Daphnia pulex: one gene and its partners. The protein of the gene in region 2 binds, or shares a complex with, the protein of the main gene of each other region. Links are inferred from orthologs where the notes say so. Each region holds a gene or a part of one and is shown on either strand. Other genes may lie near its edges.

Region 1 (4,219 bases), about 5.6 Mb from region 2:
ATTATAAATCAGTAAGTAAACAGACACTACGCATAGATTTAAAAAATAGTTAGTTGTATCTAAATCATGTCGCGGTATTCTTATACGCCTATAGACGATCCGGATTTAAGTAAATAAATAGACGTCGTTATTTTTTAAGAAGAAAAAGTTGAACCAACCGAGAACATTAAATAAGAAATAAAAACAAATTCTCGTTCAGCTTCGGGTTAGATTTTTTCTGCTTCGCGGTTAAAAAAGGATGTATCACTAGATGCACAATTTTAATACATCTTCTTCAGTTCAAGTTTAATCGTAATTAAAAAAATATTACTAGATATGTAATTAGCAAATTTTATTGTTTGTATACTTTCAACCAAAATTCAAGGAGATGTCTCGCAATTTAGGCATACCAACGGCCCACGCAAACAGCGCCTTTCAATTGTAAGGTATCGCCCGAAGGATTATCACCACTTATTAGTTAGTTATTTGAGAAAAACATCTCAAATAACTTAAACTCATATTTCCAAGAGCCGATCAGCATCAACCAAAACTTCGTTGGTAGATTTGCCTAAGTGCGAAGAATTGAAACGTGAGAATGGCAACCTTTTCTGTTTATCATTTAAAGTATAACTTACAGTTGCTATGTACGGTATGTCCCACTATGCAGTCTTTTAAATCGCAACTATTCTCAATTACCGAATTATCCATCAGAATGCTGCCTTGAAGAGTTGTTCTAAAAAGAAGACAATTCATATACGTTGTAGCAGAAAAATAAATAATCTCATCTTACTCTTTCATGATCGTAACGTTATCCATGATGATACAATTGGTAATCCTAACTTTTTCTCCAATATTGCAACCTTGACCAATAACCGAATGCTTAATAGAGCACTTGTCCGATAACTGACTCGTTTCACCAATAAGGCAATCAGTTCCCACCTATATTATAAAAAATGTTATAATGTTTATCCAACATTTAAAAGTTATAAGGGTCTTCGTTACTTGTGCTTTGGATACGGGTGGTGTGATTTCCTCATCAGGAAACATTGTATTCCATCTTTTAATAACCTAAATTTCATTTTAAATAATAATAATATCGTCGATCGATTCTAGTTAACAATTTCTTTCTTTACTTGTCGGTTGAGCTCACAATAGTTGCTCAGCGAGTTTGCACGTAGACAAAAGCCTTCCTTGGCCACATAAGCGAAACAGCGGATATTATGGTCTTGGTACGGGCCACGCAAATCACCACGATGATCATTCCAAACAGAGTAGCTCCTGATTTTCTCTTCCTCTTCGACATCAACAAGGAAGCTGCAAATATCTTTACAAAAAAAGAAATTATAATACTATTTAGACTTTAGACGTAGAGATTTCAAATTCTATTTATAGTGCCTCGATTTGTAGTATTTAAAGAAACGACCGAGACATCCGCATTGGGGAGTTCTTTTTCGTTTTTTTTCCTTTGAGTTTTTATAAACTGTTTTCGCACAAGATGAGGCAAGACCTCACCCTTCAGCATAGTGAATGACCTATGTTAAAAAATTGTTTGTTTTTATGATTTATCCATTAACGCGTAATATATTTAAATAACGGTGTGACTTACCGGTTTTCGGCAATGTAATCACAGACCCATTTCTTAATAACGTAGAGATGAGCGTCAAGCAAGTTACCTTGAACACTTATCTGTGGGAAATGTTTCATCACTGATTTTCGGATTGAGAGTTCCTCCTCGTTTTCTGAAGTCAAATCTGCTTCTGAGACTAAGAAAACCAGACGAGGTGTTTGCAGATCCAATCCAACCAAGTCCCTTTCTAAAATTTTAAGGGAAGTTTTATATTATTATTTGATGAATATACTATCATACATTTTTTGTTATTAAAAGTAATCTAGTGAATGCTGAAAGATATACCTTGCTTGAATTTTGTTTTGGGACCAGGCACTGCAGTTGACATTACTTCTGGAGAGGACTGGCTAAAAAGTGCAGTCACACTTGATTGATGAGTTCTGTGTAAGTCAAACACATTGTGCAATGGTATATCACATACCAAGTCACAACTAATGACCAGGACATCAGTCTGCAATTCGATTGGATTTAAAGGTATAGTATATGTGATAAAAATCTTGCATTATTAAAGATTTATACCTTGATTCGGTCTTTGACTAGTCTAAGAGAATCAGCTGTTCCAAAGTCTTCATTTTTTGGAAGACATGCTATATCCAGTTTGATGTTCAAACCATACTTGCTTGGAATAGCTGCAACTTCAGCTCGAAACTGTTCATGGATAACAACTATGACATCTAAAAAGTAGTCCTTGTCACATAAAAGTAACTTTATTCAAAACAAAAACTGAAATACCTTCAAAACCAGCATTTTCCAACATTTTTAATGAAAACCATATCATTGGTCTGTTGCATATTGGTAATAGACACTTGGGACGGTCATGAGTTAAATCTGTCATACGTGAACCCCTTCCAGCAGCCATTATTACTGCTTGGTACTCCATGATTAAAGAACACTAGAATACAAATATAAACTAATAAATAGCAAACATAGAGAGAATTAGAAAATAAAAGGATGATGCGTTTTGTATCTGTTAGCACATGGAAAGGTAACACAAACGGTGTTACAGAAACGCACAACACAAACATTTCTAACTAAAAAAAATCGAACCAAACGGAAAGTATGTACGGGTACCTTAATTTAATGAATCGTAATAAAATAATAGCAGATATTTAACCTCACGGTAGACAAAATTAAACACGTTTCGTAAACAGCTGTAAACAGCAAAACACTAAAACACTAGCTCAAATTCTCAAAATGCAGTGGGTAAAATGCGGGCACGATGCGGGTTTGAGGCGGTTTGGCCAAAATCGTGGAAACACCTCCATGGAAAGCTTAACTCCGCCCACAAAGAGGGAGGAGCCAATTTGCAATTATTCACGGTTTATTATCCTTTTTTCAGGATCCTGCGACTTATTACTTATTAGACTTGCTTGAATTACCAACAAATAAGCTCCTCCTCCTTCTACTCCGATAAAATATACAAATTTTAAGCCACGATTTATTTTTGTCGATATCTAAAAATGTGTTAAGTAAGATCAGAAATAACGAAACAAGACCCTTCCAGGTTCGCCCTCGGGTATTAACGTGCAAGATATCAGTTAAAAGCTTTTGCTTATATTTTCAAAACAATTAAAATGTAGGAATTTCGTAAGATTTTGTTTATTGTAATTTCCTGGATTTTTTTTCTTTATCATTTACGAAATAAATTTATTATTATTTTATCATTTATCATTTTACGAAATTCTTGAGTTAAACTCAGACAGTGGCCCAATTTCTCCATCACAAGGGCTGAGGTAAAAAGGCAACAGTTCAGGTTACAAGATCGAAGCCATATTTTAGGAAAAAAGTTTGAGGCAAGGCAACAATTCAGGGAAACAGATGGAGGCAACAATTCGAGAAAAAAGATGGAGGCAATTAGCTGCAGTCGATGTTTAAGGACGTCAAGTAATTAAGATCTTCAGACAATCAGTAAAAAAGGATTTGTTTACTGATTGTCTTTAAGCCACTCCCTCAGCTCCCTTTCATCAGGTATATCCGGGTTGATCTAAAGAGAATACACAAGAAAAAAAAATCCCGATGAAAAAAACTGCTGGAGAAATATTATTGAGTTTAAACTAACCATGATTACCGAATCATCGAAGGAGTCTAGGAATATTTCTCCACTATCGCGTGCGAATGCAGAAACCTTAACACCTCCAAATGCAACAATGGCGTTATCCAGGCTACTGAGCTGAAATAGCTTTAGCTTTGCGACTGAGTGCAGTACCCACGGCTGAAAAGTTCTTGTCCCTGCGAAAATAAATAACTTTAAAACTGTCGGAAGCAAAATTTGTCTGATTAAAAATTTCACCTCAAATCAGCGTAAAGCTCTTCGGCCGAGTTTAGAACAACAGATTTAACAGAGCTACCATCAGAGCGAGGTGACTGGCCCGCATTTGATGAGGCTTGAAAATTTTCTCCTGGAAGCTTGACTGTATCTAAATAACAATGAAACCACAAAATGCAAGTAAAATAATTGTTTTACTCAGAAGCTAACAATACTTTCTTACTATGTTTTATTCCATGGAATTCGTCGATAAGACCCTCATAGGTCAACTGAGTGACAACAGGAGTTATCAAATCTACAGTCCTATCAATGATCATGAGAGTGTCGAACAACGGAGACATGGGGGG
Region 2 (3,699 bases):
ACCCAGTGTCATAATAGCTTCACCCAGGGTATTTCAACCCAAAAACACGTCCACACCAGATAAACCCAATAACAGCACCTTAATGCGAGCACTCCAAAACGCCGAAAAACAATGGACTGGCGCGATTGCTTTGATGCAGCTGGCCTCTTCAAGTTCGCAGTGCTGAAAAGAAAATGAACATAATGAATTCACCAAAGTTTTGTCTCTCTCAATAACCTATCCTTCCAATTCTGTCAATTTCTAATCTGCTGTTCCATTTCCTTGTAATTGCTCAGTGAAAAACGGTATTATTTTCGCTTATTATGATATTTCTCCATTTCCATCACTACTTTATTTTGAGAACTCTTTCTCGTACCTGAAAGATGAATCGACTGTTCTCTTCACTACTTATTTAATTTACTCTCTCCTTTCGATCCAGTGTCTTGATGAAGCTTTAACCAATCGATTCGTGCTTTTGGTGTTTACTCTTTTAATCTTGCTGATAGAGAAGACCAATACTTAGAACCCAACTGTAGTTTTGAAACGAAACAAAAATTCACTCCATGTTCGTAATTTTCTTAGTGCTGTGTGTTTATGTATCTCGGCCTTTTTAATACAAAGCCATTTTTTCCCACATTACAATTGCACGTCCAAAGGGTGGTACAGTTCACTGAGGAGTCGGTAGATGTAAGACGGTGCATTGCCTCCGCTAGAGAAACAAGTGTGATTATAAAATAGATACTTCTTCATTATCTTCAAACTATTTAAAAATAATTCGCTTACGTATTTGAAATAAAGAGTGTGACGAGCTCTGGAGGTACGTAGTCGAAAATTGGATTGTAGACGTTCACTTTGGAAACGAGCTTGCCTTCGTCGTTGTTCAATACTTCCTCGGGTGACACAAACTGGTTGAATCCATCTTGATCAAGGCTACAGACATATTCGGGACAGAGTTTAAACATTGGTGCACATACGACGAACTGAAATCATAAAAAATAAATTATTTTAGCTGAAAGTGTAGGCCTACAAAACTTATTCCATTACCGGAACCGAATAATGCTTTGCAGCCAGTGCAAGGGTATGAGTGCCACACACTGCTTTTAGACCACCGTTGGCCATAACAGAATGAGTACCGATGATTACTTTATTCACACGTGCCATCATTGCGAAAATGGCAGAATCCGGAATAAGGGTAGTAGAGATACGAGCTTCGGCTAAATCTGCAGCCAATTGATGTCCCTGTAATAATAGTCTGGAGTAAATATACAGGTGTTATGCAAATAAACGTTTTCAAATTCGCTGCCTACGTGGAAAAATGGAGCACATTCAGCAACGATGACCTGGAAAACACGATTTTTCGCAGCTGACTTCAGAAACGCCGAGACAGTTTTAGAATAACCAATAGTCATGATGATTTCGTTAGCGTGAATGTGTTCTAGGGCCTGGGCGGAAATGTCGATTTCACTGTGGAAACAAATTAAGGTAGTTGAATAGGCTGTGAAGCTAGACATGTGGTAAATTCTCAAACCTGGATTCTAATTCGGCAAGGAACTCTCCAATGTGCTCCATGATGGCTGGTTTGAGCAAGGGGATGTTTTTAGTGTAATCAGAATCACTTTCATCTGCTGTGAGAATTTTTTGAAGTGAGTCTTGCAAATCAGATTCTTCTTGTTTTCCTTTCTGCAGCATGGCATACTCATCCCTGACAATCTTTAACATTCTTCTTGTCATGTTGCCAATGACTGTTTCTGAAGGTGCAGTCTCTGCCAAATCTTTACCTATTCTTTTTATGGTGTCCATAAGCTCCCTACAGATTGAATTGAATCACTTAATAACTGGAACAGGAATTCTGGACTTGAGATAAACTAACAAACCTTGCATTCTGCCATTTCATTTGACCAATGATTTTTTTCCAAAGCTGTACGGAATTAAGGGCCAAGTCTCTCGATCCTTTGAACTTTCTACGAATAAAAAGAAACACAGAATGTCAATAACGAGATGGAATAGCCAGCATTACTTCTATGGCCTATAACAATCATACCTTTGCTTAAGATTGTTGGTGAAAGTTTCAATTATACCTTCAATTTCACTTTCAAGACTCGGCATTTTCACACTGATTTTCTATAATTTATTCTGAAATAACTGGTTTAAAGACAGATAATAAAGTGAAGTAGTTCACTGGAGAAAACGAGAATTTTGCAGCGTATTGTTTATTTACAAAGTTCGTCTGCAACTGCAACTGCTACTGCGCGAGTGCCCGATCGCTCAAATACGTACATCATCTTTCGAAGAAAGCCTCTGAAAAAGCGATCTGGTTCGTTATGGTTGGTTATGCCTGGGCTTATGGCATATCCATATCTCTATAGGCCCTACCATACCCCTGGTTATGGTTGGTTTGATAACAGAGTGAGTGTAAGATAAGTAGATAAATTCGTCATCTTTTATGCTTTTACTCGTTATCTTTTATTGTCGTTGCGCACACCTTTAAATTTGTGTTATCTATGATAATTCAACCAATAAGATTATTGGTGCGATTACAATCAGCACTGCCTTAATACCCAATCTAAAACGATAGCCAATCCCGATTGCGTAAAATGTGCAAGTGTACACTCTACGTCAAGACAAAATGTCATCCATAAATTCAGAGTGATTTCGCGTTAACGTTTAATGTTTTTGGGTCTTACTTTGATATGTATCCGGGGCGTTGGAATCAACCACATAATAATATTACGTCAAAGATCGTCGTAACAATTTACGGCCAAGTTTTGATTAGGTCGAAGTAAAATTTTTGGTGAGGGAGCTTTCACCTAACAGCACCACTACCTTTCTCGGTAAAAATGGGCGGCCACACGCTGTCAAGAGGTGCTGCTTAACTATATACAAAACTTGGATCAGCGAACACACGAAGAAAGACAATGGGAAGATCTGACCTGAACCTGTGGGTAAAAAGACAATGGAAATAAAACCCGAATCATCCCACATGGAAAAATGCCATAAAACCCCTCGTCGTGAAAGAGGAAAAATCTGAATTTCAACTTGGTAACAACTTGGTAACACTTCCAAGTTGGATTTCGCTCCTGCATTTATATTCATTCCGTCGTATACGTACAGTATATATTGTGACTTGTTTTTCACGATTACTCTTGACACAATTTTAAATGAATGATGGGCTTCTTACGCTGTCGCCTCTTTAGAATGTTTTTCACATCCTACTACATTTGGAGCAGCGAAATTAGACATTGTCGGGAAACTTATTTTTGTTCGTTTCTGGTGGGCCCTGGTGCCTACGTCTTAATCAATACATCGCCGGCGAAATAATGTGACAGCTAAAGTAAATAAAGACAAACCTGTAGGCGTCGGATACAAGACCATTGATTGAATAAAGCGATAATTTAATCACGGGACGCTCGATGGTGTCTAAGTACCGGGAGCAAGCCCGTTTATTTATAAACAACAATGGAGTCGGAATCAAATTGATTTTGATGTTTTCCGGCCAAAAAAAGAAAAAAAAAAGTTTAATATCTTGACCTATATCTTTGCTGCTGTTTGTGTGGTGGTAAGGCGGCAAATAAAAAACAGTCTAAACTGTTCGGGATCTAGTTTTCTGGTTGCCCGGTTTCTTTTGTTCCCTTTTGCTGGCGAGTGCCGAATCAAATTTGACTCTATAGGGGAAAATGTCCAAAAAATCGAAGCAAAAATCAGCCCAATCAAGAAACTGAT
Region 3 (3,598 bases), on a different chromosome or scaffold from region 2:
ACTTTCTTGGTAATAATACCTAATCATTCATATTATGTTTCATAAATCACCATTGTTTCGTTAGCATTCCTCATTTCCGCTGTTATTGGATGCGCCCAAGCCATCGTAATAATTTCATGCACCATGTACAGAGCTCTTCACCCGGTTGGCTAAATCTAAAATTTGTATGCTTGTTACAAACAATTTAAAAACGAATCATATTGTTTAAAAATAGACATTTGATTACTACGACCATTCAAATCTACGAGAAGTGCCTTTTATAATATTGGGACTATGGCCTTTTGTGATGAGTCTGATTTCCTTAGGATTAGCAGCCGGAGTAGTGTTTGCTGTTGGTTTTCTATTTTTTGTCCAGGTTTGAATTTCTTTGGATTATATGTTCTTTATTTAACCTAAAAGTGATTGATTCTTTCATAGATGAAAGTGGTTTTAAGAAATCAAACAGGCATTGAAGACTGGGTTCATGAAAAAGCTGTTTATCGTCGAGAAGGAACCGATGAACCCTCTTTCATTCACCCCTACAATTTAGGATGGCGAAAGAATCTGGTTGAAGTAATAAATTTCTCTTTCCAGCCTAAAGGTGATGGCATCGAGTGGAAAGTCCGGGACAATTGCCATCCATACGCTTTCACGGTATAATCCTATGCATAGTTCTATAGATTTTCTACCTTTTATAGCTATTTATTCATTTTTGACAGATTGAACAAATTGAACAGAAAAAGATTAAAAGGGAACGCTGCGTAGAATACGTAGTAGAGAAAGCATACAGTGGAAGGTGGTTCCCTATTATTAGTTTCGGCATTATGGTTTGTCTTCAGCCACCATACACCGACGAGACACGCATCTCTCTGCAGATTGGAGATAAGGTGGCGGTTACTCGATGGAAAAAGTATGATAAAAACAACTTCCAACAAGAAATTTTTGCCTTTCAAAACTTTTATAATTGTCCTTTAATCAGATATTGGCTTTACGGCGAAATTCAAGAAAGGGGTCAAGTTCAAATGAATCCAACTGAGCGCCGAGCACTGCGCGGTTGGTTTCCTCGTACATCCTGCTCTCCTTCCTATGTGGAATATGAAAAAGAGGAATGATTGTTTAAATTAGTTTAATTGAATGGATAAGACAACAAAAAGTTCCAATAATCTTACTTTTATTTACACACCACTTTGTTTTGAAGCAAAGCACCTAAAATTGCACCTTGTCTAAAATGTTTCGGGTGGTTTTCATCTGACAAATTCACAAAATCTTGAAATAAACTATGGTTAAAAAAATAAAAAAAAAAATGCAAAATGAACGTTTATTTCACTTTCGACAGATATCTCGTGCGCCGTGCGGTCGTCGCTCGTCGGTCGTGCTACCGGTGCTACCCTACCCGTACCTGTGTGCATGCACGATGAAGAATGGCAACGTTGACGACGACATTTTTGTTTTTAACGCGGAATGTGAAAAGAATAGAATGACTTAAGTATTCTTCTTTCATCAAACGATAACAGCAGTTTATGAATGTTTGCGGTTGCGTGTGACATAATGGACATATCAATCTAGGGCTCTCGGCAGATCCTTCCCTGGGACTAATCGGTGAGGGCCAATCAGAAACAAGTACAGTACTCAAGTGTTTTGACTGACTGGAGTGTTGACTTTTCATTGTGTCGTCTGCTGCTGGAACGGTGGCAAGCTGGCAAGCTGCTGTGCTGCTCTTCTAGCTGAAACTCCAAGTTAAGTAGAGAGGAAAAAAGTTTACTAGTGCGCAAAAAAGATATAAGTATAAAATGGAAAATACAAGTAGGTTTAGTTATTAAATAATGTTAATAAAAAAACTAATGTAATCAATGTGCTTTTAGGAAATGTATTGGATTTTTTCCAAAAAATTGTGAAAGAAGAGCCGGATGTTTCAGCAGCTGTTGCAGCTATCCGCACATTAATGAATATATTGGAAAACTTTGGTGATGGTTAGTAAAAACAAAATAATATCTATAAGCATAATCATTATCAACATTAAAGACTATCATATTCACAGGTGAAACTCTTCGTGGATTGTCGGAAGAACTGAGAAAAGCAACAGAAGAAATGAAGAAAGCTGAATGCTCAATTACATCAGTTCAATCAGGCTGTGAACTGTTTCAACGGTTTATCACACTTACTTCTCTTGAACAATCAGTATGTTGTCTATAAATATGAATCATAAATTTTTAATAGATTTAAAATAAAACATTCTTTTTAGAATTTCAAAGATTGCAAGGAGATTATGAAGAAACGAGGAGAAATTTTTCTAAGGAAATTACAAGAGGCTAGACCTAAAATTGCAAGACTAGGGGCTCCTTTTATTCTTGATGGACACAAAATCCTCACTCACTCCAAATCAAGAGTGGTTCTACAAACACTAGTTGAAGCAGCTGTTATATCCAAAAAACGTTTCCATGTTTTCATCACTGAATCTCACCCGGATCTAAGTGGTGTCGCTATGAGAGACGAGCTATTGAAACACAGTATTGGTTCGACTCTCATTTTGGATTCGGCCATGGGTTATGTCATGGAATCAGTGGATTTAGTGCTTGTTGGAGCTGAAGGTGTTGTTGAAAGCGGAGGCATTATCAATAAGGTACGGATAAAATATATTTATTTGACTATTTAAAAAAATTGAAAAATTTATTGAAATAGATTGGAACATATACTATGGCGCTGTGTGCCAAGGAAATGCACAAACCCTTTTACGTTCTCGCTGAGAGCTTCAAATTTGTCCGTCTCTACCCGCTGAACCAACGCGATTTACCCCAAGAACTGAAAGTATGTTAAATTTTTTAACCAATTTTCCATAATGCTGAAACTTGTGTTGAATTTTTTTAGTTCTCGTCAACTATTATTGAATCCAATCATTCTAATCTTCTCGATCAGCATCCTCAAGTTGATTACACGCCACCAGGATATTTGACTTTGCTTTTCACAGATTTGGGAATTCTCACTCCATCAGCCGTCAGTGATGAATTAATTAAACTTTATCTATGAAAGAGAGTCGTCTAAATATAAAAACATCGATAAATGTGTAAATAAAATACACGTTCATGTCACTTTTTTTGTGATTTTAGACATTTTCCTGCGCGTGTGGAAAATATAACATGCAGTAAGGTCATCTGTCGCAAGGTGGCGTTTCGAACGATGCACTTCAAATTGGAAACCGTTGAAGTTGTTAGCGTTGGTGCTAATTTAGCTCTAACTTTTTAACAATCAAAATTAGGGAATAATAACAAAGTTTAATTGAGACAACTACAGAAAACTGTGAGGAAAAAGATGTTAAATGAGCCAAATAAAGACCACATTCCGGAGAAATTTCCAAGAGAAAGAAACAACATTGATGACTTCATAAAGAGGAGACCAAGTCTTAACAGAAGTATTACTGGTGGTGGTTCTGGTTCAACTTTTCGAGGTAATGAAATGTTGTGGATATTGTTTGTCAATTTGTTCACTATGAAGTTTTTACAGCTGCTTGTGCTGCGGTAGACTCATCCCTACCTCCTTCTGGGAAGAAACATAAAATAACAGAACTATGTCTGAATCATACCCTGAAGGAAATGAAGTTTAATGCCTTAGAAAAAGAGCAAGA

What was found.
Region 1: translation initiation factor eIF-2B subunit beta-like (region 2) and translation initiation factor eIF-2B subunit gamma-like share a complex: the UniProt entries of both Homo sapiens proteins name them as parts of the translation initiation factor 2B (eIF2B) complex. The link is inferred for Daphnia pulex from reciprocal best matches to the Homo sapiens genes EIF2B2 and EIF2B3.
Region 3: the proteins of translation initiation factor eIF-2B subunit beta-like (region 2) and translation initiation factor eIF-2B subunit alpha-like are in contact, whole or in part, in a cryo-EM structure (PDB 7F64), measured with the Homo sapiens proteins. The link is inferred for Daphnia pulex from reciprocal best matches to the Homo sapiens genes EIF2B2 and EIF2B1. Residues at the interface, in NP_055054.1 of Homo sapiens: Glu107, Ser108, Leu109, His110, Leu112, Leu113, Thr114, Ser115, Asn242, Phe278, Asn280, Glu281, Glu282, Ser334, Tyr337, Arg338; in NP_001405.1 of Homo sapiens: Leu71, Arg74, Phe75, Leu78, Arg96, Leu99, Phe100, Arg103, Lys110, Thr117, Phe118, Lys120, Ser232, Phe235, Leu283, Asp287, Leu288, Val290, Thr292, Ser294, Ala295, Asp298, Glu299, Leu300, Lys302, Leu303.

Annotation. Positions count from the first base shown.
Region 1 is NC_060019.1:11,426,372-11,430,590, reverse strand, and holds translation initiation factor eIF-2B subunit gamma-like, read right to left. Parts: upstream 2,836-4,219; 5' UTR 2,721-2,835; exon of another isoform or gene 2,678-2,720; intron 2,517-2,677; exon of another isoform or gene 2,499-2,516; 5' UTR 2,487-2,498; coding exon 2,339-2,486; intron 2,281-2,338; coding exon 2,126-2,280; intron 2,058-2,125; coding exon 1,892-2,057; intron 1,794-1,891; coding exon 1,586-1,793; intron 1,512-1,585; coding exon 1,375-1,511; intron 1,304-1,374; coding exon 1,113-1,303; intron 1,048-1,112; coding exon 982-1,047; intron 919-981; coding exon 770-918; intron 713-769; coding exon 615-712; intron 548-614; coding exon 495-547; 3' UTR 317-494; downstream 1-316. Other genes in the region: vacuolar protein sorting-associated protein 33A-like, read right to left, coding at 3,769-3,835, 3,897-4,023, 4,096-4,219. UniProt on the Homo sapiens protein: Acts as a component of the translation initiation factor 2B (eIF2B) complex, which catalyzes the exchange of GDP for GTP on the eukaryotic initiation factor 2 (eIF2) complex gamma subunit.
Region 2 is NC_060019.1:5,860,661-5,864,359, forward strand, and holds translation initiation factor eIF-2B subunit beta-like, read right to left. Parts: upstream 2,226-3,699; 5' UTR 2,086-2,225; coding exon 2,021-2,085; intron 1,941-2,020; coding exon 1,854-1,940; intron 1,787-1,853; coding exon 1,508-1,786; intron 1,444-1,507; coding exon 1,287-1,443; intron 1,219-1,286; coding exon 1,024-1,218; intron 960-1,023; coding exon 763-959; intron 689-762; coding exon 616-688; 3' UTR 550-615; downstream 1-549. Other genes in the region: asparagine-rich zinc finger protein AZF1-like, read left to right, coding at 1-166. UniProt on the Homo sapiens protein: Acts as a component of the translation initiation factor 2B (eIF2B) complex, which catalyzes the exchange of GDP for GTP on eukaryotic initiation factor 2 (eIF2) gamma subunit.
Region 3 is NC_060023.1:2,531,157-2,534,754, forward strand, and holds translation initiation factor eIF-2B subunit alpha-like, read left to right. Parts: upstream 1-1,418; 5' UTR 1,419-1,769; coding exon 1,770-1,782; intron 1,783-1,841; coding exon 1,842-1,949; intron 1,950-2,017; coding exon 2,018-2,157; intron 2,158-2,221; coding exon 2,222-2,599; intron 2,600-2,658; coding exon 2,659-2,784; intron 2,785-2,844; coding exon 2,845-3,003; 3' UTR 3,004-3,070; downstream 3,071-3,598. Other genes in the region: palmitoyltransferase ZDHHC6-like, read left to right, coding at 1-9, 65-144, 215-355, 418-633, 699-889, 959-1,091; uncharacterized protein LOC124198557, read left to right, coding at 3,286-3,421, 3,478-3,598.